2 linked regions of the Drosophila melanogaster genome follow. The protein of the gene in region 2 interacts with the protein of the main gene of each other region in a pairwise test. Each region holds a gene or a part of one and is shown on either strand. Other genes may lie near its edges.

Region 1 (5,706 bases), on a different chromosome or scaffold from region 2:
ATCAGCTGCCTCTCAGCTGCCAGGTGGAAATCCCATTGTGGAAAAGTTAATTTTTATGTTCAAAGTTTTCCACCTGCCATCTAGTTAATAAACTTTCCGGGGGGAAACCTTCAGCATATATATAATTGGCAGTCTTCACATACATACATACTCGTTTTCGTTTGGATGCAAATTGAAGTGTAGCCTAATATTTGCACTAAATAACCGACGTATTTTAATTTCCTTAACTATTCGAGCACTTAATTCAGGTTATGAGTTTAAATGGAAAATTAAAAGCATCTGGTTGAAAAGCATCCGGGTGAAAATTAAAGATGGGGTGGGTGCAACTCATTAAATTAAGTTGTGCAAAACATCAAGTGGTAAAATAAATCTCATCTAAAATATAAAATAAATCTCGTTAGAACTCATTCCCGTGGGTAAAAGATAGTTATTTGTACAAACATGCAATGTCAATGTTTAATTTTTTGAATATGAAATAAGATTAATTAGACTGATAGTTAATATAAAATGATAATTAAAATAGGCTTTTTTTCCGCGGAGTGATTGCCATTATATTATGTAACTGAACATTGGTTGTGCTGGCGGCATCTTTTCGTAATTGTCGTGTAACAGGTGAAAGGAATGTGGCTGCTGAAAAACACTCAATAGATAATTAAATGCTTATAATATGAGTTCGTTCTAATTATCACCACAATTAGAATGTATTCTATTATATGTTTTTGATGTGCCCTTTAATGTGCGCACGTGAACGCCAGTGGGTAGGTTGAAATCCATTCAAATCCTCGACGGGTTCAGGAATACATATAATATATATGTATGTACATATATATAGGCTTAAGCCTTCCCAAGGAGCATATGCTGCCTGTTTGTCTTTTGTGCATAATTAATCACTGAGTGACGCCGCCGGGAGTTGAATTGTGTTGTGCTGACATGGCCATGCTTTTTTATCACTGCCACAGTCTCCTGGCCGCTAAATTTATCTCTTTTCTAGGAGTCGCCTTCGCGTCCCTGTCCTTGCAACATCCGGCAACATAAGCGATTCCCTGCGAGTGGGTGGACGTGAAGGCGACCAGGAGGTGAAAAGCTCTAGCCGGTAAAACGATGTTAATGTCAAGTAGATCTCGGAGCACGTCTTGCTGCGATAATTGTTGGCGTAAATCATGTCGAAGAGCAACAGAATTACGTCCCAGACAGACACATACTATCCTTGTGGGCATATTGTACACGAAGAAATCAATGTGTCATACTCACACTTTTATCTTTAGCCCGAGGGTACTTCACATTAAAAGAGTGATTTCGATCAACTTTAAAAAGTAACTATAGAATAAAATTCTTATTGTTGGATCTGAAATTAAAGCAAGCGAAAAAATAATAATAATACAGCCAAAAAGATGCTCTAAAACAAAGAAATAAGTAAAGGACAGACAGAAAGATTTCATTAGTCCGAAATTTGTCATTAACTTATTACGTTTTAATTACTCAACTTATCACTTGATTGATTACTCAACTTATCACTTGATCTATTTGATAGAAGTATTTCAAGTTACTGCAACATTTTCTCGCAGTGTAGTGTCTGCGCTAATGGATTGTGTCCTTCGCAAAGTTCGGGCATTTCCGCGGACATTTCTCTTTGCGGCCACAGGACGTAATTGAAATAAATATTTTTCTGTAGTGTTCCCTTCAGAGCGGTGGAATATTTTTGAAGAGCCACTTTATTGAAATTTGTTTGCTTATTTGCATTTCTTGTACTGGGAATTGATTGAAATTGAAGAATGTAAACTCAAGTAATACGGGGTATTTGCCAACATTTAAGGCATGGAATTCTAAAAGCCAGATTAAGTGTTGTGGCAAAAGGAAAAACAAAGTGTTGCATGGTTGATGCTGGTTCATGTAAGAGGCATTACTCAAATTAATGCGCACAGCAGCGGGTGAAAAATTATGCAAATCACGTAATTTTTATTTCGCCGTGTTGAAAAGTCAAGACGACATGCTTTTTGTTTCAAACGGCTGCTTTTAAGGGGGGTGGCCTATGTATTGTGCCCACTTTTATTGCAAACACGCGCGTAGGTTTCCCTTTTGCAGACAGAAGGTGCATGTATTACTGACACTTTGCGCCTTCTCCTAAACTTTATTTCGGTTTTATTGTTTTAAGCTTTCGTTTTGGGCTGCTGAATTATGTTATTTGCGAGCATTCTTTAAATAACGAATTTCCTTTACTTTTCAAATTACGCGCCCGCTGTGCAACCCTGCGCACGTTATCGATTGCCAGTGGGCATGCGCACAACTATCGATTACCGATGACAAACAGCTGTGTACCTATACTTATCCAATATGGCTGCAAGTAAAAAAAATTGTAACGCTGTGAAAAAACTGCAATTTGAATTGCATTTTCCGCTTGAGTATTAGATAGAAAAGTGCGAGAAATGTGAATTTGTGCAAACGAAAGTGGAACACTATCCGAAAATCAAGTGCGCGCCAAGAAATCGAAGCGAAAAAGTGAATATCGAAAAAGTCGCCGGTGCCCCGCCAAAAAAAAGAAGACTCCCCCACTCCACTTGAAAACATTTCTCTGCGGAAATAAGGAAAATACTGCGAAAATGGAAGCCGACATAACGCCCCTGGCGGAAACCAACGGAGAGCAGCGCCAAAATCCCCAGGAAAGTGCTCAAAACCAAGAGCAACCGCAACCGCGGCAGGATTTGGCGGGCAAGTCGGTGGGTTCCGCTGATGATGGCGTCTCCGGAACTGTGGGACAGATTATGGATTACCTCGAGGTGCGCCCGGCTTTAAAAGACTTGGAAAAGCTTGTGAAACTCATACATATATATATATATATGTTTGTTTATTTTTATTTATATTATAGGACGATGCCGGTGCAACTGCCGACCAGGACGCGGAGATGGGCGAGGCAGAGTATCTGGATGGCGAGATGCCGCAGGAGGATGAGAGCGAGACTCCGCAAACGGAGAAAGCCAATGAAGGTTGCCAGGAATCAAGCAATAAGAAGGATTTGCAAGAATCTGCAGCTAAAGATGATTTTTCCAAGGAAAAAAGTGGAGAGGATGGTGAAAAAGACACCGACAAGGAGAAGAAGGCAACTCATTTACATGAAGATAACAACGATGATGCCGAAAAGGATGGCGACGAGGCCGACGCAGAGGATGAAGACGATGTAGAGAAGCCAGAAGATGAGGATGGCACCGAAGAAGGCGACGAGGCCATTGAAGAAGATGAGGACGCTCTCGATGAAGATGAGGATCCCAACGAAGAAGTCGAGGAAATTGAACCAGATTTCGAGACTGGCACCGATGCAGAAGGTGAACTAATCACTGGCGATGAGCCGGGCGATCTGGCCGATGTGCCCATTAGGGAGCGCAAGAAAGAGGAACCCGTGGACGAAGACCAGTGCCGCGTTTGCACCAGCAAGGAAGAGCTAGTCTGCCTGTTTAAGAAGCAAATCGATGCCACGCCCGCGGACATGCTGCTGGTCATCTGTCCTAATGTCTCGATTTTGCCCAAGGACTTTATGCCGCAATTCATATGCACCAAGTGCATGGGCAGCCTTACCATTGCCATACAGCTGAGAAAGCAGCTGGAGACCACGGACCAGGAGCTGCGCAAGCGTTTGTCCCGAAGCAAGAATAAAGTGCGAAGACCCCGCGGCTATGTGGTCATAGACGCACCTGTCACCGATTCCAGTGAGGATGAGGATGAGCTCGATGATGAGTTCAAGGTATCCGATGTAGCCGGAACCACGAGTGCCGACAGCGATTCTGCCGATTCGGATGACAGTGAGAAGGAGAAAAAGAAGCCCGGACCACGTGGGCGTCCTCGAAAAAAGCCACTCAAGAGAGGCACGGACAGCGATGGGGAGCCTTCCAGCGCCCAAAAGAAGAAATACCAGCCCTCTTCGACGGCTTCAGTGGGCCCATTCGAGTGTCCCAACTGCGACTTGACGTTCTCGCGCAAACAATCCTATGTGCTGCATCGTAAGACTCACGAGAGAATAGAGCATGCCTGTCCCATCTGCGGCAAGAAGTTCAAGGTGGAGTGGGCCTATAAAACGCACATGCAACGGCACGAGCAGGAGCGCGCCCATTTCCGCTGCGAGCTGTGCCCCAAGATATTCCGACTGCGCGCGGAACTGAAGCACCATATGGCCCAGCGACACGACGAGCATGGCTTCATTTACGAGTGCAAGCGCTGCCAGCGGACGTTCCTCACCCAGCAGCGACTGCAGCGTCACCAGGCCGTCGGTTGTCAGCGGCACAAGGAGGATAGCGTTCGCATCAAGGAGGAGCAGTCGCGGTTCAAGCAGGAGTCGCGCAGCAAGGACGACCGCCATCATGGCAACAACAGCAGCAAACGCCGTCCCGGCGAAGGACGGGATCTTTTCAAGGCTGTGGCCCCACCAACAACCACCTATTGGAGCGATAGCTTCTCGGACTAAAAAAACCAAGGTGCGGCGGCTTGCGGATTTCAATTCAATAATTTCTAATGAACGATTTTAAGTTTCTCTAGCTGTAGGAAGAATTCAGTGCAAATAAATCACATTTGTAATAAATACAAAATAACACTAGTGGAAGTTTTGAGTACATGTAAACTTCTCAAGCTAAGTAAGTAAGCGAAAAGGCAAAATAAAAAGTTCGATTAATGGCAGATTGGAAAATATTGACTTAGACGCTAAGATTTTCATTTGTTCCTAAGGACACCATTAGATTATAAATACTTCAAACATATAAGATTCGCTGTTAAAATAAACACTATGTTTGGAATAAGTGCGTCGTAACTTACATGGAGTGCGCTGCTCCTCAGTGACCCACAATGCTTTCCTTTTGAACCCCTTTTAATTGGATCCCAAAGCGTTTGCTCGCCAAATGGCAGCACTTAGTGCCGCCGAGCTAAAGAACAACCAACTGCAGTTCTGCACAATCTTGGCCATAATGTGGCGTTCTAATGTTTATAATTTCGCTTGTGGAGCATAACTAGGAGTGTTTAACTACTGGGGATTACTTTGGACCCAAGCTGGGGGTCTTTAGTGTAGACTTGCAGCATATATGTGCATAAGCGGAGCACTAAGTGTGGTTACTCACAACTTTCAGATCCGTGTACAATTCTTATCAGGTATTTCAGAAAGGTTTGGTAAGAAAAATGCTGTAGTACTTCAAGCAACTAATTTGGACCACAAAATTTGCACTTTTCCAAGAAAGTTTTACTCATGGCCGGAAGGAAAACGAACTGAGTTGCAACGTTTTAGTTATAATTTTAAACTGTAAGCCAATAAACTAAGTTATTTGTGTAAGCCTAATTTGTAAGCCGTAATTTATGCAAAATTGTTAAGCTTTTCTTTTGGGTTTCTGTGGGAAGTTTTGTTGTGATTGCAGTGAGTTTTTAGGGCTAAATTTAAAACTCTTTAAATTGAATTGAAGACACACGTTTGACTTTAACATTTATTTACATAGCAATCGGGAATTGTTTGGGCAGGAAATCTGATGCACGTGCGAATGTTTCGGCAATGCTGCTGCACTACAAAGGTGTCTAATTGATCCGCCGCTCCGTGTGCGTGCCTAATTAGAAGTGGTGGATGGAGTGGTAGGTGGGCAGGTGATAGGACACCGAAGACACCGGATGGTGGGCAATCAGCGGGGCATGGGCGATGAGTGGGGCATGCGATATGATTGGGGCATGATGCACCAGCGTGGGTGC
Region 2 (3,966 bases):
AGCCGTAGCCGCATCCAAGTACACCCACTGCCCGATTCACTTACTTAACAGGTGTGACAGCGGCAACAACGAGTCGGCTGCTGTCACTCGAACAAGTAAAGCCAAGTGAATAACTGTGACGATGACAAGGACGAAAGCAGGACACGTTTTAGCAGATAAATGCCAGGCACTTAAGTCATTTACAGCCGGCATTTGGATGTGGTATCCAACGTGGCGATGCAGCTTCAACCGACAGTTTTCAACAGTTGAAAACTTCCCGGAATAGCGGCTAGTTGGGATCCTCGAGACCAGCTGGGAAGTCCTTTATTTAAATTGTGTTGAAATATTCAAGTGTTTTCAGGGATGCAATTAAAAACCAAAAAAAAAAAGCAGTTGTAGCATGTACCTGCTGTAACAATACATGGGCTTTGCGGTTGGTTAGGGTTTCACGTAGTGACGAAACGCACATGAATATCACAAAACAAAAACTAGCATATGGACTTTGCTGGAATTAAATCAATATTCGTACAAATCGGTTTTAAGTCCAATATAAATGCAAAATTATTGTCTTCAGAAAATGCCCTATTTTATTTAAGAAAAAAGAACAAAGTTCTTCGGATATTAAGTTTTATTTTTCAATGGCAGTTAATATTAATTCAATTTTTAAATAAGCAAAATATATAAATCACTAAACCAAAATACAATAAAAATTTCGCACTATTCTTCGAATGTCGAATCATCTTTATTTGAAAACAACCTAAAGTTTTGTATGAGAATGCACGTAACGTTTACTACGATATATTTTAAAGCCTGGGCATAGTTTCTATGGATATTACCCTACATGATTTAAAGCTAAAAACATTGCCGCGTTCTACGCCAAGAAGGAATTTTCACAGTTCGTAGTCTTTGAGTGAGTTTTCACGCCTCTAAGACTGCTGAAATTCACTCTTGGTGAAGATGGTAGCGGGTATGATGATATGGCTCCTGGATATGAAGGGGCTTTGATTGCTGAATGAAATGAGAATGAGGATGCTGATGCTGATGCTGATGCTGGTGATGGTGAGGATGTGGCATCATCTGGTATCTGTGCATCATGGCCTGGTAGTGCTGCACCATGGCGGCATGGTGTTGATGGTCCATTATGGGGAAGTAGGCGCTGTGTGCCTTGATATATGGGCCGTTACCGTGCCCGTGCCCATAATATGGCATTCGCTGATAGGGATGACCTGTGACCTTGGGTCTCGCCCCCGTATTCTGCTGCCAATTGCTGCGGCGCAGGCGTCCCGTCGTCTCGCCAATGGACAGATCCTCGGCATACGGATCGAGTGCCCAGTAGTGGCCACGTCCAGGATCATCGAGAGCTCGCGGCACCCGAACGAAGAACGGATTGAGACTCAGGTTGTGCCGGATCGAGTTCTGCCAGACGCTCTTGCGGGTGCGATAGTACGGGAAGTTGTCCGCGATCCACTTGCAGATCCCGCTTAGGGTCAAACGCTTCTCGGAGCTGCTCCAGATGGCCATCACTATGAGGGCGCTGTAGGTGAAAGCCGGCTTTGCATTGCTCTTTGCAGCCATCGAATCCGAGCTGGAGTTGGAACTGGAGCTCGAGCATGAGCTGAAGCTGCTTCCTGAGTTGTGCTTCGAAATGGGGGACTCCTCCTTTTTGTCCACGGAGAGCAGCGATCGGATGGAGAAGCTGGACTGGAAGATTGGTGTCGTATCCATCGTAATAATATTGCAATATGTGTCACTGTTTGAGTTCGTAAAACGACTGTGACCAGTCCACCGGCCGCCGATCTATTTATACGAGAGGAAGAGGCTGAACTCGAGGATTACCCGTGTATCCTGGGACGCGGATTAGCGATCCATTCCCCTTTTAATCGCCGCGCAAACAGATTCATGAAAGCCTTCGGATTCATTCATTGATCCACATCTACGGGAACGGGAGTCGCAAACGTTTTCGGATTAGCGCTGGACTAGCGGTTTCTAAATTGGATTATTTCTACCTGACCCTGGAGCCATCGTCCTCGTCCTCCGTCCCTTAGCGCCTCCTGCATGGATGTCGTTTTTGGGTTTCATACCTTTTCACACTGGAAAAATACGGAATTTGTTGTAAGCCCTTTCAAGACGAATGGGATTTAGCTTCGGATGTCAACGTCACCATAATCATATTAGGAATATTTCTACTCAATTGCAATATTGGTACTTTTCTGACTGTAAACGCGATGATAATTACAAATATGCCTAATTTGCTGTCTTTATAATCAAATGGAGTTCTTTATATTTCCAAAATATTGAAATTCCGATTCCCTAGAAAATAATACGTTTTTCTGTTATTAATAAAAAACCAATAGGAAAGTTCTCAAAAATTACTCTGTTGTATTTGATCATTTCTTTTCCGGTATAATCTTTTATTTTAAGCATTCCCATGTGAATAAATTTCAGACTAATGTATTAATAAGATGTCGTGTTTTTCCACTTACAAATTTCTCATACAGCTGGATATATACTACGAGTACTATACACATGCTCTGGGTATCGTTATTTTAGAGAGACTACTAACCATTTATATCTTGATTAAAATGTATTTCAATTCTCTTCAAAACTGTATACTACTGTATAAAAAAATGGGAGTAAAAGTGGAATAACATCTTACATGCCAAAATTCAAAAACCAAGATATGTAATGAAGCCATATTCGAAATAAATGATATTATATATTATAGATATAATTTGTCAAAAATTCTAAAATCAAATGTTATTCAAACGGGAAAATTGTTATGAATTGTTCCGAAATTTTATGTTTAAACAAGAGAGAATGCTATGGTCGAGTTACCCGACTATCAGATACCAGTTACTCAGTTAGGGGGAATGGGAATAGATATTGGGGAATAGAATGAGAAAAATTGTTTCAAATTATTCAAAAGTAGGTGTAAGGAATGGCGTAACCAATGTGTTTTTGGTATGGCGGTAGAAATTTACAAAATAAACAATAAAACGAAGAAAAATCTACACATCTTTCAAAAGTGTGAGCGTGGCAGTAGTGGGCGGATGGTGGGCGTGCCGAAAAGTTGTTTGGCAAATCGATAAAATCTATAGAACTAACAAAAATGTAAAAGAACATCTTCTATAGTTCCTGAGATCGAGACGTTCATACGAAATGACCGACGGATGGACCAAATCGCCAGCTCGACACGGCTATTGATCCGGATCAAGAATGTATATACTTTATATCGAGTATACCCTTTTACTCTTCGAGTAACGAGTATAAAAATGTTTCACTTCCTTTGTCGCGTCTCGCAGCCGCCAGAATTTTGAAGACACAGTTCAACTATGCGCCACCGCAGCTATGCAGCCTTATCTTCGTTAACTAAGCTATCTCCCATCGCAGCGATTTGCCAAACAACTATTTGCCACGCCCACAAATCGGCCAAACCTTTCACGCCGTTGAACACAACGCTTTAGATAAAATAACGCTTTAAAAAAAAAATTTAAACAAAAGTGTGGGAATAATTATAAAAACCTTTTCATTTACCAGAAAGCTAAGTGGCGCTAATGATGATAAGGAGGAGATTGATTTGCGAAAAATGATTGTCATTGTAATTGCTGGTGGTGGTTCAAAATCGAACTTTTTCGGTGTAATTTGCAGCAATTTGCATAATTTGCGGCATAGGTGGCTTATTGGATGAATATAAAAAGGTCGGAACGCGGAGAGCTGCTTCAAAGAGGCGAACAACCATGGACATATCGAAGGTGGATTCAACGAGGGCTCTGGTTAACCACTGGCGCATCTTCAGGATTATGGGAATCCATCCGCCGGGCAAGAGGACCTTCTGGGGTCGCCACTACACGGCGTACTCCATGGTGTGGAACGTAACCTTCCACATCTGCATCTGGGTGTCCTTTTCGGTCAATCTCCTGCAGTCCAATTCGCTGGAGACTTTCTGCGAGAGCCTCTGCGTGACCATGCCGCACACGCTCTACATGC

What was found.
Region 1: the proteins of fd19B (region 2) and CG12391 interact in a two-hybrid assay, tested with the Drosophila melanogaster proteins (one large-scale study listed by BioGRID).

The regions. Positions count from the first base shown.
Region 1 is NT_033778.4:11,146,669-11,152,374, reverse strand, and holds CG12391 (uncharacterized protein), read left to right. Parts: upstream 1-2,306; 5' UTR 2,307-2,597; coding exon 2,598-2,774; intron 2,775-2,863; coding exon 2,864-4,450; 3' UTR 4,451-4,773; downstream 4,774-5,706. Other genes in the region: CG13231 (uncharacterized protein), read right to left, coding at 5,572-5,706.
Region 2 is NC_004354.4:20,090,682-20,094,647, forward strand, and holds fd19B (forkhead domain 19B), read right to left. Parts: upstream 1,728-3,966; 5' UTR 1,705-1,727; coding exon 922-1,704; 3' UTR 747-921; downstream 1-746. Other genes in the region: Or19b (odorant receptor 19b), read left to right, coding at 3,717-3,966.